Rhinolophus ferrumequinum: one gene and its partners. The protein of the gene in region 1 interacts with the protein of each later gene in a pairwise test. Links are inferred from orthologs where the notes say so. Each region holds a gene or a part of one and is shown in the gene's direction. Other genes may lie near its edges.

Region 1 (7,573 bases):
ACCCCCTGCAACTAAGATTGAACACGGCACCTTGAGCTGAGCTGCCGCTGAGCTCCCTGATGGCTGTTGGTTGGAGCTCATCCTCTCAACCACAAGGTTGCCAGTTTGATTCCTTGACTCCCGCAAGGGATGGTGGGCTGCGCCCCCTGCAACTAGCAATGGCAACTGGACCTGGAGCTGAGCTGCGCCCTCCACAACTAAGACTGAAAGGACAACAACTTGAAGCTGAACGGCACCCTCCACAACTAAGATTGAAAGGACAACAACTTGACTTGGAAAAAAGTCCTAGAAGTACATATTGTTCCCCAATAAAGTCCTGTTCCCCTTCCCCAATAAAATCTTTTAAAACAAAACAATAAAAAATAATAAGGGAGAATGTTTTCCTGCATCAAAAAACTCTCAAGAGAAGCATCTCATAATATCACAGCTGATACAGGAATGACCATATGAGCAAATAGTTCAAGTCTTTGGACAAATATCTTTAAACAGTCAGAATAAGTTTAGAAGCTTGCACCTGCTAGGAAATCTGGCTTGGAGAAATCCAGTTTATTTTGGGTAATCTACATATGTTTTGTACAACATATATACAAGTAAAGATCGGGGATTTCTAAAGAACTCAGCTGTCCATAGATGAAACCACCCTCCGCACTTCCAAGCTGGAAATATAAGGAAGGTACCCAGAAGACTCATATTTCCATTCTACCCATTTCAAGACACTATCATTCTGAAGCTTTCAGTTACCAAACACATGGATTCCCATGCAATTATTGGTATGGATCTGACACCAACTTTGATGCAAGTAGAACAGACCTTAGGTCAACCAAGAGGGACCTCTAGACTGTTCAAAGATACACATACAATTAAGACACATTCACATATAAACTCACCACTGCTCTTTATCCTGATATTATACCCCACCTAATTTTACTTGCTATTAAAATATCCTTTCCTTTTATAATAGTACAGTCATAGCAGGTGATGCTTTTTTTTACTTTTTAAACATTCTTACTGGGTCAAATGACTGTCCATGACAATCAGTCCCAACTTTATTTATATGAATTTTATGTCTTTGTGAAATCCCCAAATCTGGAAACAATTAGAACAGTGGTTCTGCCCCGCAGGGGCCCTTGGCAGTGCGTGGATACATTTTTGGTTGTCACAACTTGGGGAGGTGGGGTTGCTACTGGCATCTATTGGGTGGAGGCCGGGGATGCCACTCAGCACCCTCAAGTGCACAGGAGGGCCCCAAAAGTCAATAGTGCTGAGGTTGAGAAACCCTGAATTAGTCCAGTTGATGTCCCTGCCAACTCTTAATTTATTCAACCAACACATATCTATCCGACACCTACTATGTGCCAAGCATTTTGCCAAGTGCTGGGAGTCAAGCAGAGGGGAGGGCAGTCTAGTCTTCTTTGGTACACCACACTACGTATGGGGGGGGGGCTGTTAGGTGCTAGAAAACCCCTTCCAAGACACACAGAAGAGAAAGACAGGTCTTCACCTTGTATATCCACCAGGATCAAGAATCAGGGAGTCGCAGCTCCCTGACATTCCCACCATCCAGGCGTCTTACCTGGGCTTGCCCTGACCCGCAGACGCAGCTGTGACCCTGGGCCTCAGTTTCCCTACCCGGCCAGAGGGTCGCTGCAGGGTCCAACTTGCTCAGTGGAGACTAATGCAACCTTCAGAATCGGTCCTTTCACCTCCCTGGGCCTCAGTTTCCCTTCCTGGCCACACCGACCCGTCACCGCAAAGGGCCCTAGAAAAACGAACTTAACGCCAAAGCACGGGGAAAAAATGGTCGCGGCTGCAACAATAACGTCAGGGAGGGCGCCATTCGGGTCGCAAGGCCCTTCCTCGAGATTGTAACGACCTCACAGACCGAACGCACCGCGCAGAGAAGCGGCCCGGGATCAGTAGGCCCTTCCGCCCCCAATCGCCTCCTCGGCCCGCACAGGCCGATAACCGTATCCCCTTCCCCTCCGCGCGGGCGGAACTGACCTGCGGCCGCTCCCCTAGGGGCCGGCGCCCCGCACTCCAGCTGTTCCAACATCGCCCCGGCGGCGGCTCGAGCTCCCCTCGGGCGGCGGAGACGCTGGCTCCACTCCGGCGGCCGCGACTGCTCGCCCTCCCGCCCGCGCCGCTGCTGCCGCGGCCGCCGCGCTCGTATTTGGCGGGAACCGCTGCGACCCCCGCAGCCCGCGAGCCGATTGGACGAGGCCGCATCACGTGACGTCCCGCCTCGGGAAGAAGGGAGCGCTGGAAGCATCCTCGCGAGATCCGTGGCTTCCCTTCCTCCCCCTTGGCTCCCCTTTTGATATTCCCGCGGAGTGGCGGTCTTCCTCCCGGCGTCTCGTCATTGGCGGGCAGGAGGCGTTCTTCAATTGGCGGTGGAGAGTGTCAAGCTGAGAGATCGTCACTGTGATTGGCTGAGTGCGTGGGCTAGGCCAATAGGCGAGAGGGCCAGGGTCATGACGAAACGTTTTACGTGCAGCGGCGTCACAACCTGAAACTGCGATTTAGATGAAGACTGAAGTTGTGGGTGTATCCTAATAGGACATCCGCTAAACATACCAACAGCAATTAAAACTTTAAGTTACTTTTTATATAAACAAAAATAAAGTAAAATCTGGGCAATACTTCAGAAGCATTTGATACGCAGTAAATATATTCAGAGGGAATTAATGAAATGGATTTTTCTGGTTTAATCCTCGGGATTTTTGCACACGCTGTTTTCTCAACTAGAAAGCTCCGTAACTCCTTTCCTGTCTAATTTCTACCTATCTTTCAGATCTTAGATTGACACCTCAGAGAAACCTTTTTTCCTTTACCCCCAACAAAAAGTGCCTACAACGTTCTTTTTCTTGAAGCAATTACAGCTTATGTTTATGATTAATCATAATTGTTACATGATTAATAACTGAATTTCTGTTTTTGTCATTAGTTTCATGAGGGCAGTAATCATGAATCACTGTATCCCCAGGACCTATCAATGACTAATACATTAGTAGGTACTCAATAAATACTTGCGTGAATGCATAAATATCATTTGGACTGTGTGATCCGTGTAGGTTAAAAGCCTCACACACAACACTCGGTGTCAGCCTGCAAGCCTTAGAAACAGGTTTACTTCAGCAAAAATTTAATCTCTCAAGCAGAGCAGAAGACTGAAAGGGAGTCCAAATTTGAAATTCTATTGATACTATAGATTGAATAAAATTAAATCAGTAGAATTAGTTGGAAGCAATCTGGAGAAATTGAAAATTTGGGGACATCAGTTTGGGCAACTTATGTCTTACTAAAGTCCTCAGTTTCCCCATGTGAACCCTGAGGACGTTTTCTCTCTCTTCTCTGATATTTTGGCATTATGCAATGATTTAGACCAGTGGATTATGCAATGTTTAGACCATGGATCACCGTTGAGGGTGTCCATCATAATCACAGGGGCTATTTTTTCTAATCATTCATAGTAGCCTCATTAAAATCTTTGGGAGGGAGGTGGGGGCATGCATATTCTGAAAAAAATCCTCTGATGTAGTCCATACCTTCTGTTAGGCATTTGGAAACTTTCAGTACCCTTCTGCTTCAGAAAATGTGTCAGAGATTTCAGCACTGAAGTTGCAAGCACTTTAGCTCTAGTCACTTTCTTGTTCCTCTTTTTGGATTCTTTACTTGTTCCAACTCATTATTAATTTCAAATTCATTCAATATGTTTTCATCAATAAGAATTAATTTTAAAAGTCACTGTTGATAAATATGTATCAATCCGGGAAGGCTTCCTGGAGCAGGAGACATTCCAAGCAGATTCCTCTTATACACAAATGTTGGGGGGGGGAAGATTAGAGAAGAATGTGCAAGAGAGGTACAACTTTAGCAAAGGCCCACAGGCAACAGGGATCATGGACAATAGAAGAGGAAGAGAGCCGAAATCAGAGGGTTGACTGGGCCAAATTGTGCAAGCTTTGTAGGCCATGTTAGGAAGTTGGGAATGTATTCTAAGGGCAGTAGGCAGACTTTAAACAGGGGACTGTGATCTGAATCATGTTACAGAGGCATATTTCTGGCTTCCTGGTAAGGGATGAACTGGAGGGGGAAACCTGAAGGTGGGCTCACCAAAGAAGAGGCTGCTGGTGCAGTGGTCTGGTCAGGGCAGAGAGGACAGTGGGGATCGTGAAAAGGAAGTAGAAGCAACACCCTGATGTCTGACTTGGGCAACCGAATGGATGAAGATGGGGCAAGGTTGGGGATTAGACAGGAGGGACTAAACGCGTAGATGAATTCGGTATAGCTGAGATTAGCAAACAGGTATCTGGAGACTGAAACCCAGTCTCCCAACCTCTCCAGAAAGGCTTAAGCGCATTTCCTAAGACGTTAGAGCCACCTCCGGCACTCCAGGGGACGCTGCATCCGCCAGGGCCGCTCTAGGCTCGCCCGGGTCCACTCGCTGGCAGAAGCGGCCGCTCCCGCAGCAAGCGAAGTGCGCGTGCGCCTTCCGGACAGCAGGGGGCGCGCGTGCGCAGACGGGGCCGGAAGTGTGCGGTTGCCATGTAATATCCTGGCCGCGCGGGCGCGCGACGGGCTGAGGCGGCGCAGGGGTGGGAGCGGAGCTGGCAAGAGGGCGGCGGAGGCGGTGCCGACGGGGCCCGCTGAGGCGCACGGGGGGTCGGCGGCGCCCGGGAGCCTGTCGCTTGCGCTGTCCCTCCGGTTCGCTGGGTCCCGGCGGGAGGTCGGACGGCGGAAGGCAGAATGTCGGTGGCGGGGCTGAAGAAGCAGTTCTACAAGGCGAGCCAGGTAAGCGGAGGCCATAGCTAGGGCGAGTCCCGGAGCCCCGGCTTCCCGGAATTAGGGGTCGGGTTAGGCCCGGCCCTAATTAGGGAGGTGGCCGGGGACACCGAGGGCACGTGTCCCTCGCAGGGTGGGGAGAGCCCAGGAGGGCCGGGGGCTTGGTGCGAGGTGGCCCAGGCCTTGCCTGCCATGTGGGCTCCAGTCTTCTCGAGAAGGATGGGCAGACCCCTGGCTGGGACAGAGAGAGGCACCCAGAGGTTGGACCGGGACGTGGACCCCTCCTCGCCTTCCCTGGAAAGGGCCGGGTGGGGGAGAGAGAAGAGGGAAGAAACAGTCCCAAGGCTGTGGACACACGACTCTTGCCAGATAGCGCAGGGGCAGGAAAATTTTGTGTCTAGAACAACTACTTAAAAACACCAGCAACAAAAAAATCTCTTTCAATGGACCCGGTACAAAGTTGAAAGGGTAGAGGGAAAAGTCAATTTCTCACTCCAGGCCCTCAGGCATTCAGTCCATCTCCCTCAGAGACAAGGACTGTCACCAACGACTTATGTGTGTCTCTTTCCAAGGTATATGTACGCCTTCCCTTTAAAAACACACACAGGTGGTGTAGCATAGTCCACATAGTCCTATGTACTTTGAGTTTTTTGTTAAATCTGTCTTGGAGATCACACTAAAGCTGGAATTCTCCACCTTGGGTCACTCTGTGGTTGGGGGGGCCGTCCTGGGCACTGTGGGGTGTTGAGCAGCATCCCTGGCCCCCACTCACTCATAGGAGCAGCCTCCCGGTCGTGACAACCACAGATGTCTCTGGTCGCTGCCAGATGTCCCTGGGGGAACCCCTTCCTTCCTCTCCCCCAGAGTTATTGCACTAGAACATACCCCTAGGGCTTCTTGGATCTTTTTAATGGGTTTCTGGTATTCCATTTCATGACGTGTACCATAATTAATTTTATCAGTCGTTTATTGATGGATGTTTATACTGTTTCCAGTAGTTTTGTGCTATGAACAATACTGCAGTGAATAGCTAGCAAATACCTTTGCTCACAGGGGGGATTGGATTTATAGGATAAATTCCCAGAAGTGGAATGCTGAATCCAAGAATATAGGTGTTTTATATGTGATGGGTAGTGTAGGTTTTTTGGGAAGTCGGGGGCAAGAAGCCCTGGGTTCCTTGAATACTGCTAGTCCCAGCATCGCATCCCAGCTTAAGAACCATAGGTGTGGAGTTTTTATGAATAGACTCCATAGAGGAATGAGTGGTAATCCTCCAAATTGTCTAGGCCATGCTGGCCAACTGGGCTGTACTCCCAATTTGAAGAGGGCCAGTGGGAGGGAAGAAAAATGCGTCTCCAGTAACACATGCTAGTACCTTTTGCCCCCCAAGGGGAAAAGTCACAACCGTAGTGGTTGTCTAGAGCTAAAGATATTTGGAGTCTGTCTGTAGACCCCAGATGTTGGCTAAACCCTAGAGGAAGAGAGACTTACTCCCGAGGGATTCTGAGATTGTTGCTGAGAGTACAGCCCTTTGACCTAACAGGATGGAATGAAGTGACCTGGTCCTGGGTTAGACCCTGCCCAGCAGACAGCAGACCGCTGGGTGCTTGACTGGATGTCTCTTTTCTGGGAAAGCTGCTCACTGTCTTGGACCCCAATGTAGTCCCTCTTGCAGGACTGATGTTTCCATAGTTCTTGGAAGAATTCCTGGGCCACTTTGTTCCTTCATGCAGACAGGTCTGTGGGAGCCCTCCCTGTCCCACCCCCAGCTATCAGGGCCCATGCTGGTGGCCCATCCCAATCAGACACATTATGCCAGAGGAACTAGCTGGGCCTTTCAGGCCAGCCACCAGAGCTTTTTCTGTCAGGGGCAAACAGGATGGCCTGCATTTAGATCTGTGACGAGTGCTTTGAAACCTGACAAGCACAGTGCAGTGTAAGCTGGTGGTTCATTTCAGTTTATTAGCTGAGGCCCAGCCTCAAAGAACTGCTGTGATGGCCACGTCCTAACCTGCATGGTCGTCTTGGCCGCCTGGTCAATTCCAGGTTGTGTTGTCCTCTCAGGAAATCAGCCTGGCTATGTTCCATTCTCTTCTGCAATAGTTTCCACGGTCCTCTAGCATCTCCATTGTTTATCTGGCTGTGTTCATCTAATTGTGTTTCTTTCTCTTGGTCTAAGGAATACCTCTTTCATCCTCTTCTATGCCCTCAGAATAGGGTTGTCCGTTGAAGAGGAATGTCTCTTGTTAATGTAGTAATAATATTTATTGAATTCTTAGTGTGAACAGACAGTAAATGCTTTAAACCAGTCCGTCTCAACTGGCCTCACTTATCTGGCCCAAGGGTAAATGTATTCCCCTTTTTAAACAAAAAGATTTGGGGACATTTATCCTCCTCTAGAACAGTGCTTTTCAACCAGGGCCACTTCCGCCCTCCAGGGGACATGGGCAATATAGGGAGACACTTTTGGGTGTCACACCTTGGGTTACTACTGGTATCTAGTGAGTGGTGGCCAGGGATGCTGCTTCACACCCTACAGTGCACTGGGCGCCCCCACAACCAAGAATTCTCTGGCCCCAGATGTCAGCAGTGCTGAGGTTGAGAAATCCTGCTTTCAGGTGCGAGAAAAGTGAGGGCCATTGTACAAAGACAACAACAAAAATCCCACCTGAGCCACTCTTGTGGCAGCTGCCAGCGCTTCCCAGTTGTTAACACACAGATAACCACATATACACAGATGGACATGTACAGAAAACTCAGCATCCACATCCTGAGAACCCCAGAGTGTCTT
Region 2 (7,415 bases), on another chromosome or scaffold:
TGTGGGCAGGGCTGCCTTCTTTTCTGGGGGCTCCACAGGACAATCGTTTCTCGCCTTTCCAGCTTCTAGAAGCACCCACACACCTTGGCTCATGGCCTCTCCTCCATCTTCTAAGTCACAACGTAGCATCTATGATCCTTTCCATCATCACATCTTGTCTCCGTTCCGCATCCTCTCCCATTAGGGACCCTGTGATTGTCGGGCCCACCCCATAAATAACCCCGGGTCCCTTTCGGGTCGCCTGGTTAGCGACCTGCACTGTCCCTTACCATGTAACCCAGTGCAGTCACAGACATGTGCACCTTTGGGGAGGCACTCTGCTTTCCACAGGGGCTCCTGGCACCGCGTGAATAGAGGCCAGGTGTGCTACTCACCATCCCACAGAGAACAGGACGGTCCCCACAACCAAGAATGAGCGGGCCTCCAATGTCAGCAGTGTCCCCCGAGGAGGGTATAAGGCAGCCCAGGAGCCCAGGTGAGAGTAAGGTCCACCCAGCAGGCAGGGCAGGCAGAATCAGCGTGGTTAGGATGTCACTCCTGGCCACCTCTGACAGCGGGTACTGCAGTGCTATCTCCGTATCCACTCTAGACTGTTCTTTCACTTCAGATTCCCGACCAGGTATGTCTCTCCCCAGCTCTAGGAAGAGCAATGCACCTCCCCGGGACTCACGGGGACACCCCTGATTGGAGGGAGGACATAGTCTCTCGGGTGCAGGCTCTGGGCTGGCCATGTGGTCCCCTTCATGCCCTGGCATCCGTCTGTGCCTCTGCGGCCGGTGTGGAGCAGGGTCTGAGGCTGCTCTAGACACGCCAAGCAGAAAGGGGAGCCCCCTCAGCCCAGCCCCCAGGACCAGTGGGGCACCTGGGAGGTGTAGCTTGCGCTCCGAGGGCCAGTGGACAGCCACTGCCTGGCACTGCCCCCACTGAAAAAAAGGACTTCATTGGCTTTGCGAGGACACTCACTATTCCACAAGCCAACAATAAAGTTTAAAAAGTGTTGCCCACGATTTCATCACCGAGATATTGTTGTCGATGTTCGATAAAGTTTACGCAGGTAGTTGTAAAGGCCCAGGCAAGCATGAGCGGTCACGTGACACACAGAGACCGTGCAGAGCTACTCCTTTAAGTAAAAGCATTAAGGGAAAACATGGTCAGTGAAATGTGAATGCTTCTTTACCCCAAGTTTCAAAGATGCTCCTAAGATTATTTTTAGAAATTACAAAAACCATGATGGGACGAGTGTCACTTGGTTTGAGGCAGCATGCTTCCATTAGCCAGAGCTGGCTCTCCTGCTTCCTGTGTCCTGTGACTGTGTCCTTCCTGCCCACGGACTCCCCATGGTCCCCTGCACCACTCAGCCCTGAGTCCGTACTGACTTCATCATGTCTTCAGTGGTTGGATGTAAGGTAGCTTTCACATTTTTAAAGAATTTTATTTCTTGGTTTCTTCCAGGTTTAAAAATGTTTTCCTGGGGCCTCCCTACTCCCGGGGGGATTTGGCTGGGGAAGGGTTAGGTTCTGCTTTCCTGCCCCAGGCTCCTGTTCATACTTCGGGCGCTGCTGGAGACCAGGGCTGGCCTGACTACGTCCTGGTCTGTGATGCCCTCTCTGTTCTCTCCGTCCTTGAGGGTCAGTGACTGGTAGTCGGGTCTCGGGTGGGTCACGCTGGGGGCTTTCCTAGACTGTGGCGTGAACTCTCACACAGGCTCCCAGCGGGCCCCAAGGGCGCCTCCTTCACCAGTGTCCTGACCGCTAAGCAAGCAGTGCCCCTCGCCATGGTCACTGTCTGAAAGCATGTGATGTCATCACACCATTCGTTACCTTCCCTCCTCCCCTAGACTTTGCGCCCCTAAGAGGGAGTCTCCCAGGTGAAACAGTGTGGCCTGAAGTCGGTGCTGAGTGAACCGCTTTAATTGCTCATCCAGCCACTCCTGTATCAGGGACCTGCCATCCTGCCCCTCCACAGGGGGGCCTCTGCTCTGGCCCTGCTGCCATGTCTCTAGTTCTCGGGCTCCTCCTGAGCCCCGCTCCTGCTTCCAGTGCTGTCCAGTGCTGTTCCAGAAGCTTCCAGTGCTTCCCAGCCCCGTCGGCCTGCCCCTCACTCCCCCTTGTTCTGCTGCTGCTGTTGACTCACGGATGTGCTCTGACCTTCTTCACATCACTCCTGCTCTGACGAGTCTGTTTGCTCTGCTACCAAACGGAGGAATTCGTCTTTTTTGCAATGTATCAGATGTGTTGACTTGGCGGAACTGGTTTATGGCCTTAGTCCTACATGCAGCCACTTTGTCAGTCAAGAGTGGGAGCCAGCTGGAGGAGCTGGGCTGCGGTGTCCCAAGACACTATTAAATGTCATTCTGCTTTGTGACAGGCACGTCACCTTAGGGGAGACTTGGAATTCTGGTGTCTTCCCTCAGACACCGGTTGACCTCAGAGGCCTTACTGTCCACTCTCAGGCAGCCCTTCCTCCCTTCACCCCCACTGGATAGAGGGAAACAGTAGGCTGGGTGCCCATGGCATCTGCTCTCAGGTTGAGGCCTCCAGTTTCTGGGAGGGAGGCAGAAGCTCTTGTGCATGATGGCTGCCTGGTCACCTTCTGGTTGTCCTGACTCCTAGGTCACTTTGTGAGGTGTTGGTGGAGGATTTTACGCTGCAGCTTTGCTTTCCAGAGGAGTCGCAGGCCAGAAAGGGAGGACAGAGGCCTGTGGGGGGGAGGGGAAGCACCCCACTGCCTCTCCTCCCCTTGGAATATCAAATCCTAGTATCACACCTGTGTCCTATACCTAAGCTCCTCCCCCATCAATCACAACTGTGGTCTCACCCCCTCGCTGCCCTTTCCAGCTAAGTTCCTGAGAGATGGTGGCCCATGGTGGTACCACGTGGCATGTAGTCCATTGCTCTCCTGGGACCTCTGCCTGCTTTCATCCCAGCACACGCTCTGGGCTCCTGCCCACCTCGATAGTTCCCTGTAAGGACCTGTCCATGGGGGGGTCTCCTCTACCACGTGGCATCCTGTGCTGAGCCGGGAGCCTCTCCTGAGCTCCACTCCGTGAAAGAGCCCCTCCATGTCCCACAAACTGGACATGCCCCCCCCCCCGCCACAGACCTGCCCCATGTGAGTAAACAGATAACTCAGGTGTTGCTCAAACCAGATCCCTGGAGACCCCAGCACCCTATTTCCCTCACCCCCCAGCAGTGCTGTCAACCCTGTCTCCACACTATGGCTGGGACGCCATCCTCTCTGCTTCATGCTCTCTCCCCTGGGGGCATAAGGACCCTGGTTTTGCCGGCACTGCATGAACCAGACTCTCCACTGTCCTAGGACCTGAAGCAAGAAGTACACAGACTTCCAGATTCCAACTGGTGTGGGAAGGAGAGCCAGGTGCCTCACTGCACACAGGCAGCCCTTCCAGCCCTCCTGTCTTCTGGGCATGGCACATCCTGCCATCCCAACCCACTGAGTCTGGGTCAGTGAGGCCTGCTGGAACCCCAGCCTCAGATGTGTCTTCCAGAGGGTGTCCTCTGGGCATACATGCTGCCCTCCTGCAGCCTTTTCATCAGACCACAGGCCAGGGAGGCCATGCCAGCTCAGTAACTGGTTCACTTGGAAGTGGGGTGGGGACACCCCCACATGTGAGCATGGCTGGGGGAATGGGTTATGAGCGGCAAGGCCTGAGACCCAGGGTGAGTGGAGACAGCAGCCTTGAAGGGAGGTATGGGTCCCATCGTGAGGCCAGAGCATGGCTGCTGGGCTTTAGGGCAGTGGAGGACTTGGAAAAGACCCACCGGAGATGGGGGTAATGGGGGGGGGTGGGAGGCCCCTGGAAGGGTTCGGGAGGCTGTGGAGGGTGTGGTGGGGATGCTGTGGGAAGGGACGCTGAAGATGTGGACCCAGGGATGGGGAGTGGGGAGGACCCACCCCGGTAAGGGACGCTGAGGATGCCAGAAGGACCCAGACATAGGGAGCACCCTAGTGGGTTGTAGGAGGACCCCTCTGGGGAGGAGCAATGGGAGGATCCACGAGGGGAGAACTGGAGGGGATCCACCTGGGGGCTCCAGGGAGGGCCCACGGTGTGGGGAGAACAGGGAGACCCACCAGGGGGCTGGGGAAGAACCACAGGCGTTGGGGGGGAGAATAGGGAGACGCCTCCCGAGAACTTGGGGAAGGACCCACTGGGGGGCCGCGGGGAGGACCCACGGAGTAAGAACGGGGGGACCCACCTGGGGGCTGGGGAGGACCCACGGGGGGGCGCGGGCGGCTGTAACGGCGCCGGCGCCGAGGCCCCTCCCCCGCTCGCGCCGCTCCTCCTCTTCCTCTCCCGCCCGCCGCGGCCTCGGTCCCTGCGCGGCCTCGGCGGCGGCGGCGGCGGCGGCAGCGGCCCCTTTAAACCGCCCGCCCGCCCGCCGCGCCCCCGCCCGCCCGCCCGCGCCTCCATTTTCCAGGCCGCCCGCCGCCCGCGCAGCCCGCGGCCCCGCCGCCGCCGGACATGGCCGCCAACATGTACAGGGTCGGAGGTAAGGCCGTCGCCGGGCCCCGGGCCCCCATCCCCTGCGCGCCGCCCCGACCCGTCCCGGTCCCCCGGGCCCCCGTCCCCCGCCCTCCAGGCCGCGCTTCCTAAACCGCCGCCGGGCCCCATCCCCGCCCCGCCGCACCCGGTCCTGGCCCCAATGTCCCTCCCCTCCCCCACCCCACCGGCGCAGCCCGGCCGCGCAGCCCGATCGGCCCACGACGCCCGCACCCCTGCTCCCCTCCCCCACCTTTCGAGCAGCCTGCCCCTCCACTTCCACCCCTGCCCCGACTGCGGACAGTGGGGGTGGCGGAGTTGGGCCCTGGGGAGCGGGGCTCTGCCCACCTGTTGGGGCGCCTGCGTGACCTGGGGGCCCTGGGGAGAGGCCGAAGCATCCTTTCGGGCCTGGCAGCCAGGGCTGGGCCTGGGGCCTGGCCAGCCCCCTCCCGGAGCTGGAGCACGTGGTCTTGCGAGGTGCTTGTCTGCTCTCCCAGGAGCAGGAGACTTGGGCCTGCAGGGCTGGCTGGAATGCTGGGGGCCGTAGGCCCCTGTGGGGATGGGGAGCCCCAGGCCTGGGCCACGATTTCCCCAGGGTCCAGGGACACCTGAGAGCTGCGTGTGTATTTGGAGGCTTCCCTAGCAGGATCCCTTGGGATCCTCAGCAGGATGCTTCCAAAGCACCCCCAAACTTTTCACTGCCTCCTGTGCCCCAGGCCAGCAGGGAGGTGCTTTGCAAGGGTTGGGGAGAGGCCGGTGACCCCTGCCCTTCTGCCCTGGTGGGGACTGTGCTGAGCAGGCTGGGGCCCTGGGGGCTTCACCCTCTTGGGCCCCAGGAACCCCCCTTACCTTTGGGCCTTGCCCCACTTTGTGGGGAGGGTCCTCAGGGACTCTGTGCCTCTGGATTTCCATGGAATTCTGAGCTGGTCCTCAGGTGGCTTCTCCACAGGGAGGTGAGGGACCTTGCAGCCCCCCATTTCATCGATGTTCAATCTTTCTGAGACTGTCAGACACTCACTTGCCCACCTTTGCCCGGCTCTCCAAGTCACCTCTGCCCCCAGTCTGCCCCCTCACTGGCCTGCTGACCCCTGGGTGTCTGGGACACATCTCCATCTAGCCAGGCCTTTTTTGTGACCAGGACCCCATCTGTGCAGTGGGTCATCAAGGCACCTGCCTGCTGTCCGGCCCTCCTCTGCCCTCTCAGGTTCAGAGGTGGTCTCTAGAATGGGGGCCTGCACCCCACTTAGCAGCAGGCCCTTGGGGAAACAGGGAACAGGCAGGGTGCAGGGGCCCTGTAAGGGAGGAGCCCGTTCATCTCCCACCTTGGGGAGGCAGGAGTGTCACCACACCCTAGGGAAGGCCCCATCACTGCTGCCCTGGACCCCCAGGGGGCCACTTACCTTTCTCCACCCCCCAGCCCCTCTGCACAACCCCCAGCTGCTGTGGCTCAGGGCTCCTGCATCCATCCCTCTCGATGCTGTCCCCCCTTGCACCCTCCTGGACCACCTTTGTGCCACACAGATCCCCTCCTACCTTCTGTGAAGCCCCCATGGCACCTGCTGATGGGAACAAGTCCCTGTGACCTGAAGCCCACCTGCTGCCCCCTTGAGGTGACCAGCTAGAATCCCCTCTTGCAGGCATGGTCTTACCCTCGCATCCCGTCTGGCCCTGAGTGCAGAATAAATGAAGGCTGAGGGGGAGGCAGGGTGGGGGCTGCAGCCACTGTGCCTTTGGCCCTGCCCAGGCACCTCTACCCGCCTCTGCCTTGTGGGGCCTCCACTGTGCCTGCTTGTTGGGATTGGCCCTTCCCAGGCTCTGGGCCCCTGGACCCCGACTTGGGGTCTCCCCTTGCGTGTGGGTTGTGTCACTTAGCCTCTAGGTCTCCTACCTGCTTGAGTACTCAGCAGGGGCCCGGCCACCCCCCAACCTTCCCTTGCCTCAGTTTCCCTGAGGTGTGGACAGGGCTCTCTGACCTGCAAGGGCTCCTGGGGAGGCCTGGCTGGCCTTGAGTCTGCGTGTGCCCCTCTGAGGGTGCTGTGGGATCTCCTCCCAGTTTCAAGTGGCGCTCCGCAAGTGTGACCACAGGCTCCACTTTGAACTCCTGTCAGCCCCTGGGAAGACCCTAAATGTGGAAGAAACTGCATTTAGCCTTGGTTTTGGTTTCGGGGCGGGGACCCTGACGTGCCATCCCCTGGGTCCCGGCAGGGCTGGTGTCACAGTGTGTGCGGTGTTGGCAGGTCAGCATCCTGTTCCCAGGTGCTGCTTTCTTGGGGAGGGGCCATCTAGAAGACGGGCCCTCTGGTCCCTGAGTGGATTGTAGCCTGGAGGACACTGCAGGGACAGTCTAGGAAGGGACTCCCATTGTCTCCACTCAGAACCCTAAGAACAGAGCCTTTTCCAAAGGTGCCCGATTCTGCAAGCACAGCTAAATTTGGGTTTCAGATAAACAATTTCTTAGCATAAGTACGTCCCAAATAACGCATGGGACATACTTATGCTAGAAAATTCTTTGCAGAAATCTGCAGTATCTGGATGTCCTGCATTTCACCTGATGGGCTGTTTCAAGGCCCTGCCAGGATGTGTGGGCGGGGTGAAGGCATGGCTGTGGCTTTGTGCCAGCTGACCAGCTGGGTGGAACGGGTCAGCCTGGGAGGGGACAGGGCCTGGCTCTTCCCAGGGAAGTGACCTGGCCATAGACAGAGGCCTTCTGTCAGTAGGCTGCGAGTCTGGCAGGTGGGTGGGCGGGGCCTGGACACGAGTGGCAGGGTCAGGGTCCACGACCTCTGCCCCTCGGGGCCTGTGCTCCAGAGGACCCGGGCAGGCTTCTGGAACGGGCCGTGGCTGAGGGCTGCTTCTCTGCACACCTGCCCAGGTGCCTGGTGACGTGTCAGCCACCCTGCAGTGTTGTCATGCG
Region 3 (7,112 bases), on another chromosome or scaffold:
ACATCAGGTTATAGAACCCCACTGGGTGGTGGGGTGGGGGGCTACATAACCTTCAATGGCCAGAGAAAAGCTGTCATAAAGAAATGCCCTTATGACCCAAAGGAATTATCCATGAATTCAATGTGGGGTAGAAGAGTGGTAAGAAGAAAAGATGTTCCATTAGAGGAAGGAGAATGTGTAAAGGTCTGGAGGCAGGAGAATTATTGGAATTGTAGGTGAATTCATAGGACTGGAGTGGCCCAGGAGCTCATCAGAAGCTATACACCACAAATACCACCTGGGGTGTTTTGAATTGATCCTGAAAATGGTAGGGAATCTTAGAGGAGCTTTAAGTAGAGGTGTGACTATGATCATTTTTGTGTTTAGAAATCATTCTGATGGCAGTGTAGAGTGTAGAAAGGAGGGAAATGAGACAGTTAGAGTATTTGTTGTGATAAGGGATAGTATCCTGAGCTAGAGTGAGAACAGTGGGAATGGAGAGAAGTGGATATATCCTAGAGAATAAGAGGGTAGAACTGCCAGACAATATAACATTAAATATGTGACATGAGAGGCACTACCAAGGGAAACTCCCAGATGTTTGTCTGGGATAACTGGAGTGATGGTCCTTTTCAATGAAACAACTATTACTGGTTAGATGTTCGAAAAGTTCTTGTGAAGTAAGAGAAAGGAGAGAAGGTTGGAATGGTTTCGATTTGCATTCATTCATTTGGGCATGTTGTCTACTTGTGCCAGGTATAAAAACGGGGAAAGTGAAAGAAGCTCTGAAATAATAAGGGAGAGAAATGGAGGGAGAGGTGGAGAAAGGAAATGACAACTGGGAATTCCTAAGGCCCGGTCAAGTTTCAATAACACGAATTAGTAATGGGGATGAGAGTGTTGATTATGACATTCTTACAGGAACCCTGGACAAGGAGAGAGCAGAATCACAGAGGCAGATGTAGATGGTAGGCTGAGCCCAAGCTGAAGCATATGGGGCAGTGTGGGTAAGTTTATAATAAAATATAAGAGGGCAGGCAATATCTGGGACTAATACAAGCATCTCTAAACTGCCTCCCCATGAGCACAGGATGAATAGGGAAGCCAGAAAAGCCAGAATGGGGCCAATGGGAAAATAAGGAAAGAGTGAAGTGCTAGAGGCCAATAGACTGAGCATGAAGGACAGTTAGACAAATAGGATGCAGTCATCAGAGAAAAAGTCAGCGTTCAAGGGATGGCAGTAATGACAGTCCAAGAAATAAGATGGATCCAGATGTTGTGAAGCAAGACTGTTGAAAGTATCATGAATATGAACATTGATGTTCAAAAAAATGAGGTCCAAAGGAAGACTGTGTGCAAGGTAAGAGTCATGTTGGAGGTCAGGAAACCACGAATACAGGATGGGTAAAGAGCAGAGAAGTGAAACTGGTAAGAGCTCGTGGTCAATTGTGTGGAGGAAAAGACAGAGTCGGGGGGGCTGAGCATGAAGAAGAGTGCTTTTCTTCCTTTGATTCCAGAGATGTTGTCTGCATTAGAAGGAAACTGGTATTAGCAGGAGAAAACAGGATTGTGTAGTTGTCATGAGAAGGGAGAACCATTCTAGGAAGAAATTCATTTTCAAGAAAATAATACGTTACAGTAGAAGAGTTTTCAATGACATTTGTTTTTCTTTCATTCCACTGGTCATTGTGAAGCAGGTAGATAAGGGAAAACAGGGATGGTTGGAGATAGTCAGGGATACGTGACATACGAGTTCCGACAATTAAGTTCATGAACTCATCCTAGAAAAGGTACTACATACTTCATTGCTGAATATCACTATGGTGACCTTTGAAGTACCCCTCTTGGGAAGCTATGCTCCGACACCAGTGCCTAGTCCACCCTTCAAAGCAATTTTGGAACTCTTTTTCTGGAATGGTCATCAGAGCTGTCGTTGTATTACACTTGATGTCCTGAATGTCATCAAAATGTCTTCCTTTCAATATTTCCTTTATCTTCGGGTAAAGAAAGAAGTCATTGGGGGCCAGATCAGGTGAGTAGGGAGGGTGTTCCAATACAGGTGTTATTTGTTTACTGGCTAAAAACTCCCTCACAGACAGTGCTACGTGAGCGGGTGCATTGTTGTGATATAAGAGCCATGAATTGCTGGTGAAAAGTTCAGGTTGTCTAACTTTTTCCCGCAACCTTTTCAGCACTTCCAAATAGTAAACTTGGTTAACTGTTTGTCCAGTTGGTACAAATTCATAATGAATAATCCCTCTGATATCAAAAAAAGGTTAGCAACATCATTACAACAAGTTCCCAAACTTAATTGTCAGACCTCGTCCATCAAGCAACATGCTGAAAGGGACACAAAGCAAAGTTGTCCCCTTGGTGGCAATTTTTTTAAACAAACCCAATTGAGGCTCTTCTGAGTCATTAGCACTTTTAGAAACTCCAAAGTAGTTTTAAGTTTATTCTTTAAAATTTGGGGGTCCCATCATACCATGTTTCCCCAAAAATAAGACCCAGCCAAACGATCAGCTCTCATGCGTCCTTGGGAGCAAAAATTAATATAAGACCCGGTCTAATAGTAAAATAGGACCGGGTCTTATATTAATTTTTGCTCCCAAGGACGCATGAGAGCTGATTGCCCGGCTAGGTCTTATTTTCGAGGAAACACAGTAACTCCTAAACATCTCCACGATGAACTCTCTGAAGACATTTTCCCTTTGAAGGTTATTAAAGTGCTTATCGAGACATGTTAGGCAGAAATTAAACTAAAATAGGAAGATCATTCCCTACCAGTTGAGGCCTGAACACAGAAAGTTCATTAGTGAAACAAATCAATTCAGAAAACTTTTCATTTCTTATTAAATACATACCACACATTAAATATCAGAAAGCAATGACTAAGAGGTGGAGAAGATTGGAGGTGTATATTCAAAAGGTTTCACCCACACCCTGTTTTGTGGTTTTTACCTTGATGCTGCCACCACACCTACGAGTTTCGCTTATTAAAATAATAAAGAGGTAGAATGACTAAAATGTGCTGAACAGTACATAGAGATAAACGCAGTCCCTCAAAGGCTAAACCTGACAGACAAGATCAGTATTCAATTTGGAGAATATCTGATGATGGTAACAAATATTTTTCCCAATCTGGTCTATTTGTGTATGCCGGCATGTGTAGTTTTATCTTCAACTGAGCTTTGAAAAAAATTAATCTATTTCACTTACAAAATGTTGACATTAAAACTGAAGATAAAATGGGAATAAATTGAGGCAGGTAATCCAAACCATAGATAGAATTTTAAAAAATATTTTACCGTGTTTAAAAGACAACAGCGATTCATAAGTTTCAGACAGCTGAAATCAATGATTCAAGTTTTACATGTGTGGGAAATATAACTTACGCAACATCATGTGTACAGAAGAATGTGATGTGTGTGTGTGTGTGTGTGTGTGTAAAAATTCAAAAAATAGCAGTCATCATATTAGCTACTATTTACAGGGCACTTACTATGAGCTAAACTTTTTATGTTATATAATGTAATTTGGGTATCCAGACCAGGTAGATGCCTTCATCCCTATTTCACAGATGAGTACATGGAACCACTGGCATGCAAAGCAACAGGTTACCTGTCCGGCATCCACTGCCAATAGGTGTTGGAGCTGAGCCATCTGACTCCAACGCGTGACACTGTCCTAGTGATATTTTAAACACCCCACTGGAGTCCCATTTAAAGTACATCCACTCCAGTTTTTAGGTGTGACTGGTGACCTTGATTTTACCTTCTGAGTCACATCTCCAAGACCAGTTTGCATTTAAATTGAGGAAAGTGGGGTAGAGGAACTGGTGACAGTTGGGGAAAGGACAAATGGAAGAGAACAGGTGGAAATTAGGAAGAGGGACAGAAGGAACAAATAAGGAGCAAGGCGGGGGAGCCGGGCGTTGAGAGGCTCCAGGAGCGCAGCGCGCCGGCCCGCGGAGCCGGCAAGGTGAGCCCAGCAGGAAGAACCGCGCCAGGTGGCGGCCGCACCTTTGCACGTGACCCGCGCGGGCGCCAGGGCGGTGTCGCGCTCACCTGGACCCACGTGACGGGGGAGGGGCTCTGCGAGGCCCCGGGCGGCGCGGCCACGCCCCCAACCGCGCGGCGCTCCCGGACCCGGCGGACTGAGCAGTGGCGGTGGCCGCCGGAGCCCGGGAGGTGGAGGCGGGCGGAGGGAGGCGGCGGCGGCGGCGGCGGCGGTGGCGCGCAGGGACGCAGCAGCGGCAGCATGTCGGCCGGCGGAGGGTCAGTCCTGCCGCCTCCGAACCCCGCCGTGTCCTTCCCGGCGCCCCGGGTCACCCTACCCGTCGGCCCCGACATCCTGCGAACCTACTCGGGCGCCTTCGTCTGCCTGGAGATTGTAAGTGGGGCAGCCTCGGCGAGAGTCGCGCCCGGGGAGCGAGGACTGGCACCGGCATCCTTGCCCCCCGTGCTGTCTCCCTCTGCGCGCGCCCCCAGCTCCCTTCCCATTAACGGGGCCTTTTCCTGCGCCCCCCGAGGTCTCCTCGATGCCCAGCGCAGCCTGACCCTGGCGATGCCACCCGGGCCTTCTGGCCTGGCACCTGTTAATGCTGGCACCTGTTCCCCGCTGGCGATAGAAATGGCCCCGAGAGCGCGAGCAAGTGGCCCGGTGGGACCGAGGATTGGGGACTTTGAGAGGGGAATGGTGTTTGGGTTTAGGGGCCCGTCAGAGACCCCCCGCGGCTTGGCCCGGGGCCGCGCTTGGCTGGAGCCTGAGCAGGCGCTCTCAGCCTTGCCTGTTGCTAACCTGCCATTTTGTTGGGTGGTGCAAAGGTGCAGCCGATGACTGGTGACCAGGAGGCTGCCACGATGTGCAAAGCGGGGCCCGGAGGTACCAGGAAAAAGAGGAGGAGGGCTGAAGACCTGGGTCATTGCCCCCCTTGCCACTCTGAGTGCCCTTTGCATCGAGGAGAGGAGCAGGGCTCAGAAAGCAGGGCAGGAAAAAGGTGAAGTGTGTACTGTTCCCTTGGTAGTTTCTAATCGAGTGGGCGTGAGAACGGTGAGGGGAAGGTACAGACGTGGCTGTCAAGTTCATTGCTGCCTGCCTTTGTGCCTTCTTTCTTCCTAGCTTACCGACACCACTCCACACCTCAGAACACTTGGTCGGGCCTAAGTGAAGGTGAGGTCACCTGGCCTGTCCAATGCAAACTTTTGGGGCTGGAGACTGGGAATTCTTTTAAAGGAATTTTATGGAGTTGGAAGCTTTTGAAGCTGCCGTGAAAGGGAAAATCTGCAAACATGAATTGGGCAACCGGAGGTTACATCACACCCTGAGAACGACAAACAGAGTGAAATGTCAGTGCCTCTCCTGCAGGCTGCTTTGTTGGCTCCGTTTGGGCTTTTCATATCTCTCCCCTCACCCCTTCCTTGTGAGTTTGCATAACCTGGATTTGGGTCGCTTTGGTTTCTCTTTTGTGCTTGTGGGGCTGGAACACCATGTTAGCATTGGTTTTCTGCCCTATTATGCTAAGGTGGTCAGGGCACCCTAAGTTAAGTTTAGCTCAGATTTGAATCTGAAAAAGGAGACAAGTGAGTTACAGGCCACGGCATCAGTAATGGGATGGTGACTACGAGACTAGGAGAGGTTGGTTTGACTCAGCCCGGTTCCCAAGCATCTGAATGCTTCCGTGAGGCGCAGGCGTCCATGTGAGAAGCGCAGGGAGTGGATGGCTTTGGGCCGGCTGCACTGTTGTGCAGAGGGAGAGGCGTTGCGGGCAGTTAAGATAAAGAGTGAGATTGCATAGGTTCTGAGCTGCTTTGGTTACGTGTTCCCCAAACTCCAGTTGTCTGCATACCTCTTAGAAGGTTTTGTCTTATCCGCATTCCACTTGTACTAGAATTTACAGAATGTTCTCTTAAATAGATTCACTTTCTAAACTTAGATGCCTACCTCAGCCTCATCCTAAGCAATAATGTATGTGAATTCTCAAATTTGATATGATGGTTCTGTGTTTCTAATATTCAAATATATAATTATGTATTTACATATACAGATACATATATGTATATATGGAACTATATGTATGTGAGATATATATATATATAAAACTATGTATATATCTCACATACGGATAGCCATATATATATACATGTCAAGCTTGACCTGTATATATATGGCTAATCCATGTGCTATCAAGTATGTGAAGCTTGACATGTATATATATATGGCTAATCCATGTGCCATCAAATCAAGTACCATCTCAAGAATCACCTGTGGTCATGTGACACTTTCAGAAATACTACCTAATTCTGAGGGAAGAGAGTTATTCTATTTCCTCTCCCCATATCTCTATATATCTAGCCCAGTGGTTACTTGTCAACTCTTGCTGTACTTAATTACTTGGGCAGCTTTTTAAAATACTGTTGCCAGCCCAGACTAATTAAATCCGAATCTCTGGGGGAGCGCCCAGAGTTGGCTAGGTTTTTGTCAAGCTCCTCAGAGGTTTTAATGTATAGTCTTGGCAGGGAACCACTGAGGGAAGCTTGTATCGGGGCTCTGTGGACAGGACAGCTCCTCTCTTGCAGATGTGAACTCTCTCTGCTAGAATTTCTGCCACGCCCATCCTAGGACGGACCCCAGACTCACAGAAGTATCCAGTCCATTCCGCTTAGCTCTTCATTTCCTCTGGCTTCTTACCCCCGAAACACATCTACGGCCCTTATCTAGATATAAAAGCATCCCTTCCAAAAGCCATTTCCGTTTACTTTTCACTATGGCCAAACATCGTGATAGGTTTAATTCTTAGGCCTCCATTTATCTCTTTTACTTGAATAGTCTCTCTCCTCCCCATCTTACCCCAAAAAAACTAAAAGGACCCTAATATTCCAATGAAAGTAGTGAGCATAGAGAAACGAGACCACACTGGAGCCAAACTATGGCTCCTTCTTGGTTGTCATCCTTCTGTACCACGTGGAGATACTGGGTTATATGCTTTCAGAGAGCAAAGATGAGGCTGCCTCGGTACCCCTCTATCTAGAATGCCCACACTGAGCAGATGCACAGATAGGAGCTAAATAAACACTTTTGAGGCAACTTTGGTCCCTGCTTTCTTAATTTCCCTCTAGTTTTCTGATCCTTTA
Region 4 (7,586 bases), on another chromosome or scaffold:
AAGAATATTCATTAAAATAAGAGTAAAAATGTCCCTCCAAACCCTCTCCTCAGGTGGAAGCCTCTGGTAACAGTTTAGTCTGTCTCCTTCAACATTCCTGTCTGTGCATACATAAATTATCCATTTTTTCTCCATAAAAGTCAGCTCATCCTTTACATACTGTTCTGACTTGCATCATAGTATAAACATCTCCTACCTCAGAACACACACCATTTCCAGCATTCTTCTCAAAAGCAACACAGCATCTCATTAATGACGGTTCCCTTTGCTCCATAAATATTTATTGACCCCTATTGAGTACCAGGCACTGTCCCCGGAGCCACGGATGAAGCCAGGAACAAAACACAGTCCTTACTCTCAAGTCCGCCGTCTCCCAGCAGCCAGACATCAGGCTGTTCATGATGTTTTCATATGACATACAACAGTGCAACGACCATCTTGCATGGCTATCTTCTCACGCAGGTGTGTGTATTGCTATTAGGTAACTTACTTTAAAAGGAACTGTGTGCATGTTGAATTTTGATAATTATTGGCAACACTGAGGAGTGTGTAAGTAGGGGGTGACATGATTCAATGTACAACCGTCCACCCATCCATTTACCCATCCATCCCTGCATCCTTCCATCCATGTATTCATTTGACAACCATTTATGGAGTGTCTATCACATGGCAGGTCCTACACTGGGCATAGGGACACCCATGGGTGAGGTCTCTGACCGTGTGAAGTTCATGCTCTAATGAGAAAGAGAAATAAGTAAATAACACAAGAGTTTGTCCAGGTCCAGGTAAGGATTCTCTAGGGCCATCCTACTTTCTCCAGCTATGATTCTGCTCTACAGGCTGCAGTCCCACTCAATTCCTCTGCTTCCCTCTACTCCTTCCCCATACCTATTGCAGGGCTTATGCTCACTTACCTCCCAACTTCATGAACCTGGTGGCATTGAGTCAAATTCAAAACCCTGGGAATATTCAAAACGTTCTAATTGAGTAACTATCATTGCTCATCAAGTGCTGAGCTCTTCCTTGGAAGTGTGTTCCCTTTCTCGGAAATGTGTTCCCTTTCTCTTCCCGTTGTTCTGGCTCCACCCTGGTCTGAGCCACCAGTCTTCCCTTGGGATGGCTGTAATAGCCCCCTCACCTGGCTGCCTGCTTCTGTTCTCACCCTGACAATCAACCCATTCTCCACATTGCATCCAGAAGGAACTTCTGAAAAGTATTTTGGATCTTGTCACTAACCTGGTTACATCCTCCAATGGTGTCCCTTTGGGCTTTGAACAAAATCTAAACTCTTTCTAGGCCCACAGGGCCCATGTGAGCAGGCTCCTGCCAGACCCCATGCCTCTCTGTCCTCCCTCTACTCACTCCCCTCTGGTCCCCCAAACATGCCAGCTCCTGTCTCTGCCCCCAGAGCTTCCCGGGCTTGGGTCCCCTTTATTATTTAGGTCTAGGCTGAGCTAACACTACACAGAGACTTTCCTTGACCACCCCATCTAAATCGGGACCCCAGATCTGATCACCCTCTCTCACATTTCCCAGGGATTCCTTCTCCAGACCACTTGTCTGAATTATCCTGTGGGGTACTGGTTTCTTTATATGTCTGGTGAGGGCCTCAGAGAGGTAGGGCAGGCTATACTCAGGAATTGGCGGGGGGGGGGGGTGGGCAAAAGTGTGGAAGTACTGGCCTGAAGCTTCCTGCTGACCATTCGCTCAGATCCCCATATCCCTTCAGAACTAAGCCTTCTTCAGGCACAGCCTCTTGAAGCCCTCACAACATTCTGGAAAGGTTGGTATTCTTATTCCCATTTTACAGCTGAAGAAACTGTGGCTCAGCGATGGAAAAGTTTAGGATGCGTCCTTCAAGATTCCCTTCTATGCATGCAAAACCATACCCAAAGTTTGTGTCACCTAGGTGGTCAGTGTTGTGTCAGCCAGATTTGGAACCCTGCTGGCTCTAGGGCAAGTGGTCTTAGCATATCATACGGAACTTCTGGAGCCCCCAAGCCTCAGTGTCCTGAACCAAGGCCACACTGCCCATGTGCAGCAGAACCAGGATTCTAATCCGGGCTCGTCTCACCCCAAATGGAGCATCCTGTCCTGGCACCACACTCTCTCCCTTCTTCAGGCTCGATCTTGCAAATGAAGGAAGGGAAACTTCCTGGGTTCCCAGCCTTGAGGCTGCAGAGAGATGAATACCCGACCCGAGCTAAGTCTGGCAGCCAGGCCCCCACACTGCTTCCTGTTGGAGTGACCTAGGGTTACTCATGGTCATAGCTGAGGAGCCTGCCAGGCCTTGGGACATTCTTGGTTGGCTCTCTCCTCTGAAATCCCCTCCTAGGGGCAGGTAGCCACAGGCTCTTCCCCTGTGGAGCAGGCCCAGCCAGGATTAGTGAGGAGAACACGCCCCACAGTGTGGGTAGCACAGCATAGCTCTCTAGAGCCTGTGCTCCAGCGTCAAGACAATACTCAAGTGAAATAAACTCCCCAGCCCTCAACTTCCTTGCTGTAAATGGGGATACATAATAGCACTAGGAGTTACTAGTGTTCGTCTTCTTCTATCTGGCTGTGTTTTCTAAATTATGGGACAAACTGGAGAGAGATATAGGTCGCTACCCCTTTTATGGCTGAGAAGCAGGAAGAAATTAGAAATCTGAGTTCTCAGTTACATGTCTGGACCTAACTCATCCCCAAATCCAGTCGATTCTGTCTCTAGAATGCCTCTCAGACCCATCCTCTCATTTTCCGCCAGTGCTGAAGTTCCACTGCCATTATCTTGCCTGGATCACCACAGTAGGTCCCTCACCTCTTTCCCATCTTTTCCCCTCTGCGTTAACTGCAGCCAGAGCGAGCTTCTTACAACAAAAAGCAAATCTGTCTGGGTCACATTCCTGCTCAAAATGTGATGGCTCCCTTCCTTACTCTGTTTTACAAGACTCTGCAAGATCCAGCCACTGTAGGCTTTCCAGCCCCATCTCTTCTTGCCTCACTCCCACCCCTGCCACCACCACCAATCGCCAAAATGCAGCCAGATGGGAGGTACTCATAGCTTTGGATGGGCACTGCTCTCTGGCCTGCTAGGCCTCTGGAGGCTCCTCCTGCCTGAACCCAGCCTAACTCACCACATACACCCTAACTCAGGGTGGCTTGGATAATTTTGTGCCAGAAGCCTTCTGAGTTCTCTTCCCAACCCCTCCACTGCTTTCACTGAGCTCCCCCAGTCCTCTGTAAGTCACCTATGACAGTTTTCATCCACTATATTTGTCCCTGTCTGCTTCTCTACCTGTTTTTGAGCTTGAAGAGGTTGGAGAGTACAGGCCTACTAGACTCACTACTAGGTCCCAGCCTAGCTCAGAGGAGATTGCTCCTAAACATTTGGGGACTGAATGAATGAACTACAATATGTGGAAGGCCTAGTAGGTACGTGGTTTCCTTAGCGGTCTCTGTACCTAGGGCAGTTAATCTAGTCAAGGAGGCCAGCCATAACTAGGTAAGAAACTAACCAACAAAAGGTTTAATTAGCAGCTTGGGGTGGAAGAAGCTGGGTCCGTCACAGGTAATGTGATGAACTGCTCCAAATCACCTCCTTGGCGAAGGCTTTGCAGACACTTCTCTCCTCAGTGCTGAGAACTAGATTCGGAGGGTGTAAGACCTGCTTGATCTAGCACCCGCCACCTCTCTGAGTGTGTTTCCTGAAAAAAATGGGACTTGGCTACCTTACAAGACTGATTTAATGGTCAACGAGCTCGTGTCTGGGAGGATTCTGGAGGGCCATTCCAGCCATAGTGTTCATATTGTTTCTTCTCTTCATTGTTTCTTCTTTTCTTCTGCTCGCGCTCTCCTCCATGCCCCGCCAACCCCGGCTTCCCGCCCCGCGACCTCCCACTGCCTTTCCCGGGCCCCTCTCTCTTTCCCTCTGTTCGGCCGGGACCCAGGAGGCGAGCCCAGCCGCGCGGCGCACCAATCCGAGCATCCCGAGCCACCTCTGCCTCCTCAAGTCCCGCCCCCACGCCACCGTCCACCAGTCACGCGCCGCACCCGTCCCGCTGGGCCACCCAATCGCGGGCGGGCCAGGCCGCCGGCGTCCCGCCCCTCCTGCGCTCGGCGGCGGCTCCGCGGGCGGAGGTGCTGGGCCTCCGCATTCTCGCACCCGCGTTGGGAGCGCAGGCTACGGCGCTGCTGCTCGCGGGGTGCTGGGCAGAGGCGGCGGGCGCCACCGGCCGGCCGGGTGGGCGCCTCAGCTTCTCCGGGGCCCGCGGCGCGGGACCCAGGACTGAGCAGGAGGCGGCGTCCTCGCTGCCCGGGGCCCAGTGCCCGCCGGGAGGGCTCGCGGCCGGACGTTCCCGGTCGGGGGTGTCCCCGACGCGCCTCCCGGAGAGGCCCCCAGAGCTCCCGATCGTCCTCTGAGGGTGCCCTCAGCCTCCCCAGACTCACCTGCGAAGGCCGCCTGGCACCCAGGTGCGGGGGCGTGTGCGCAGCGAGGGCGCCTCCCCCGGCCGCCAGCGGGGCGGGGGCGGGGCCGCCTGCCGCCCTCGGCCTCACCGGTCAGCGGGTCGCCCTCAGTCTCACCGGTCCGCCCGCCGCGCCCGGTCGCGCGGCGTGAGCTCCGCAGGGATCGCGGCTCGGGATGCTGCCCGCCAGCGCGGCCGCTCGCGCGCTGTCCGCCACCCCTGCCCTTGCCTCCTGGGCCGTGTCCCGCTGTTTACATGCCGGTGAAGCTCTCGGCCACTCCGAGCCCCTCCGAGCCCTGTCTCCCCGAGGGTGAAGCCAGCCGGCCCGCGAACTGGACTGGTCGCTCAGACCTGGGCCCTCCGGACTCAGATCCCGGTCTGTTCTGCTGCCTCCGCCACCATCTGGGCGGGATCCAGCTCTGGTGTTTTGAGGAGGGGGTGTGGTGTAGGGAAAGGAATCCTGGGGATTTCTGGCTCTCCCCTTTTTTGGGCCTTCGGGGCTTCAGACTCAGGGAACTCGCTCATGGCTTTCTTGATGAAGAAGAAGAAATTCAAATTCCAAACCACTTTCACCCTGGAGGAGCTGACGGCGGTCCCCTTCGTGAACGGGGTCCTCTTCTGCAAGGTCCGACTGCTGGATGGCGGGGATTTTGTCAGCTTATCTTCACGGTAGGAGCTGGGGCAGTCGTGCTTGCAGAGGAGGGAGGTGATGAGCGAGATGTAGCCACTTGGCGAGTGTGGAAGTGCCCCTTGGGGCCCAGAGAGTGTTGAGGATTATGTGTGTTTGGGGCAGGTTTGCACAAGGCAGGGCTGAGCGATCTGGGAGGTCTGGGCCCGAGGAAGCTGGCAGGGTGCCGGCACCCATCTGCAGGTGAGCTGCCAGATACCTGGGGGTCTATTTTTTCGGCCCTCCTCTTGGGGCCCTACCCACAACCTGCTGTAAGCCCATTCTGCAGACTTGCACAAAGAGCCCAGCGGGGTTTGTGCCTTGAGTGGCTGAGATGGGGAGGAGTGTTCCAGGCCACCTTGAACCCAGCTGGCCACTACGGCTGTCATATGATTGAGCACCCTGGCCAGCCACAGGTTCCCAGACACTCCCTGCTCTGGGAAGGCCAGGCCCCAGGCACTCCTGGTCTGTCTGGAGGGAGGTGGCTAGATTTTGACCTGCCCACCCCTTCTGAGTGACTGTCCTCTTCTGGCTGGAGCTGGGCTGCTTTGCATTGCAAATGCCCTTGTCAAAGAGGCTTCAGCCGGCTCTTAAAGAGGCCTGGTCAACTTTGGTGTTGTGTTCTACCCCATCCTGCAGGTCCAGTTGCCCAGCTCATTGCTGAGGGCTACTGAGTTCCCAGGCTACACCCACTGACTGGGCCCACCTGGGGTCACGTAGTCCTGGCCCCTCAGGCAGAGTGCCTTGGAGTCTGACAGATGGGGGTTTGAGTGCTAGCTCTGTCACTTTCTGCGCCCAATACAGGTCTGTGTCAGAGAGTTGCGGAGATGTTGATTCAGTAGATAGAAGGCGGTGTAGGGCCTGGCCCAGGGCCTAGGACATGCTGGTTCCTTTCCCGGCTCTGCCCCTCTGCTCTGTAGGCCCAGATAGCTGGAGCTGCATAACGGTTCTGAGATGGGGTGCTTGTTACAGATGGAGAAACTGAGGCCCTGAAAGAGAAAGTAAGTGGCTTGCCAGGGACCTCTCAGAAGGCAGTTGTCAACTGAACTTGGCCTGTTTGGAGACGTACTGGATGTATCTGGTGGTCTAACGTTCTGTTGGGAGGAGGGGAGGGGAGCCACGCAGCCTAACCCAGATTTGGGACTCTGATGTGGACGGAGTAGGGTACCTTTTCCGTGCATTTGGGCCTGCTCAGGTCTGGGTTCCCCAGGCTACTGGGAGTTGCTTATCTGAGGAATTCAGACAAGGGCTGCCCTTTGCTGTGGGGGTGGTGGGGTGAGAGGTGGTGTTCTTGGTTGCCTAGGAAGCCTGTGATCCAGGGCCACCCACACAGCAGCCCAAGGTTTCAGGGAAAGAGCTGTGCTCATAGCTAGGGCCTGGGTTCGAGCACTCACTGACTAGGTGACTTCAGGCAAGTTACCTAACCTCTCTGATTCCAAGAACCAGCAATTATTGGTGCTGTGCTCCCCATTTTCCTAGCACCTCTCACTTAGTGCTTTGACTATGCCATGGAGCAGGGTGGAGGTAGGGTGGGTGGGCTCCTGTAGGATTATTATTCCCATTTTACAGAGTCGAAAACTGAGGCTGGGAGAAGGAGTGATTTGCCTGAGTTAATACAGCAGAGCCCAGATTCAAAGTTAGGATGTGCTTTTAACTACTGTCTGGTTCTGCCTTTGAGCCTTAGTTTCCTGTTATGTAAAATGGGAGAGGTCATACCTAGAGTTGTGAGGGGGAATGGATAATGTATATGCCACTTCTGGCTCAGACAAATTGTTGCAGCAGTTGTGGTTTTTATGGCAGAGGAGCCCAGCCCTTACCGCTCCCAGGTCTTGAATGGGGGAGGAACAGCTAGAGACCGCAGGGGGCCTACATGTCAGCTAGGGTTGGGGCCAGGATCTTGGATCCCACTGAGGAATTGGTATTCAGCCCTAGGCTGAGGTCTCTCCTGGCATCCCAGGCCCTGGGGCCACTGTCACCCTACCTGTCAGCTTTTTCATTGCCATAAATCTGCCCCCTCATCTGGGAAAGTCTGGAAAATTCCAGGTCTTGGCCCACAGTGTCTGGATTTCACCTCTGCCTCCCCTCTTCCCTCCTGGCAAGGGGCCATGGATTCCCTGAAGGCAGCCGAGCCCGAACAGCCTTTCCCAGCTCTCATCCTGGATGAAACCTGAGTGGGGCTGGGCGGGGCGGAGCTGACATGAGTCCCCCAAGGCTGGGCACGTAGTGGGTGCTGGGGACCTGTTTGCTGCTGTGCAGTATGGCTGGAGGGAGGAGAGACAGCACTTAGGGGATGCTGGGTACCTGTTTGCTGCTGTGTGGCTGGAGGGAGGAGAGACAGCATTTAGGGGGTGCTGGGTACCTGTTTGCTGCTGTGTGGCTGGAGGGAGGAGAGACAGCATTTAGGGGGTGCTGGGTACCTGTTTGTGCAGTATGGCTGGAGGGAGGAGAGATAGTGACGTTGTGACCTGAGACTG

The links.
Region 2: the proteins of SH3GL1 (region 1) and MTA1 interact in binary tests that used the Homo sapiens proteins (3 or more experiments, as listed by UniProt). The two-hybrid records come from large-scale screens. The link is inferred for Rhinolophus ferrumequinum from reciprocal best matches to the Homo sapiens genes SH3GL1 and MTA1.
Region 3: the proteins of SH3GL1 (region 1) and MAL2 interact in binary tests that used the Homo sapiens proteins (3 or more experiments, as listed by UniProt). The two-hybrid records come from large-scale screens. The link is inferred for Rhinolophus ferrumequinum from reciprocal best matches to the Homo sapiens genes SH3GL1 and MAL2.
Region 4: the proteins of SH3GL1 (region 1) and EEIG1 interact in binary tests that used the Homo sapiens proteins (3 or more experiments, as listed by UniProt). The two-hybrid records come from large-scale screens. The link is inferred for Rhinolophus ferrumequinum from reciprocal best matches to the Homo sapiens genes SH3GL1 and EEIG1.

The regions. Positions count from the first base shown.
Region 1 is NC_046301.1:59,306,460-59,314,032, forward strand, and holds the start of SH3GL1 (endophilin-A2), read left to right. Parts: upstream 1-4,562; 5' UTR 4,563-4,746; coding exon 4,747-4,791; intron 4,792-7,573. Other genes in the region: CHAF1A (chromatin assembly factor 1 subunit A), read right to left, coding at 2,002-2,269. UniProt on the Homo sapiens protein: Implicated in endocytosis. May recruit other proteins to membranes with high curvature.
Region 2 is NC_046289.1:457,106-464,520, reverse strand, and holds the start of MTA1 (metastasis-associated protein MTA1), read left to right. Parts: upstream 1-4,414; 5' UTR 4,415-4,483; coding exon 4,484-4,511; intron 4,512-4,849; exon of another isoform or gene 4,850-5,203; intron 5,204-7,415. UniProt on the Homo sapiens protein: Transcriptional coregulator which can act as both a transcriptional corepressor and coactivator. Acts as a component of the histone deacetylase NuRD complex which participates in the remodeling of chromatin.
Region 3 is NC_046297.1:57,713,779-57,720,890, forward strand, and holds the start of MAL2 (protein MAL2), read left to right. Parts: upstream 1-4,107; 5' UTR 4,108-4,239; coding exon 4,240-4,371; intron 4,372-7,112. UniProt on the Homo sapiens protein: Member of the machinery of polarized transport. Required for the indirect transcytotic route at the step of the egress of the transcytosing cargo from perinuclear endosomes in order for it to travel to the apical surface via a raft-dependent pathway.
Region 4 is NC_046295.1:76,982,825-76,990,410, reverse strand, and holds the start of EEIG1 (protein FAM102A), read left to right. Parts: upstream 1-4,575; 5' UTR 4,576-4,968; coding exon 4,969-5,114; intron 5,115-7,586. UniProt on the Homo sapiens protein: Key component of TNFSF11/RANKL- and TNF-induced osteoclastogenesis pathways, thereby mediates bone resorption in pathological bone loss conditions.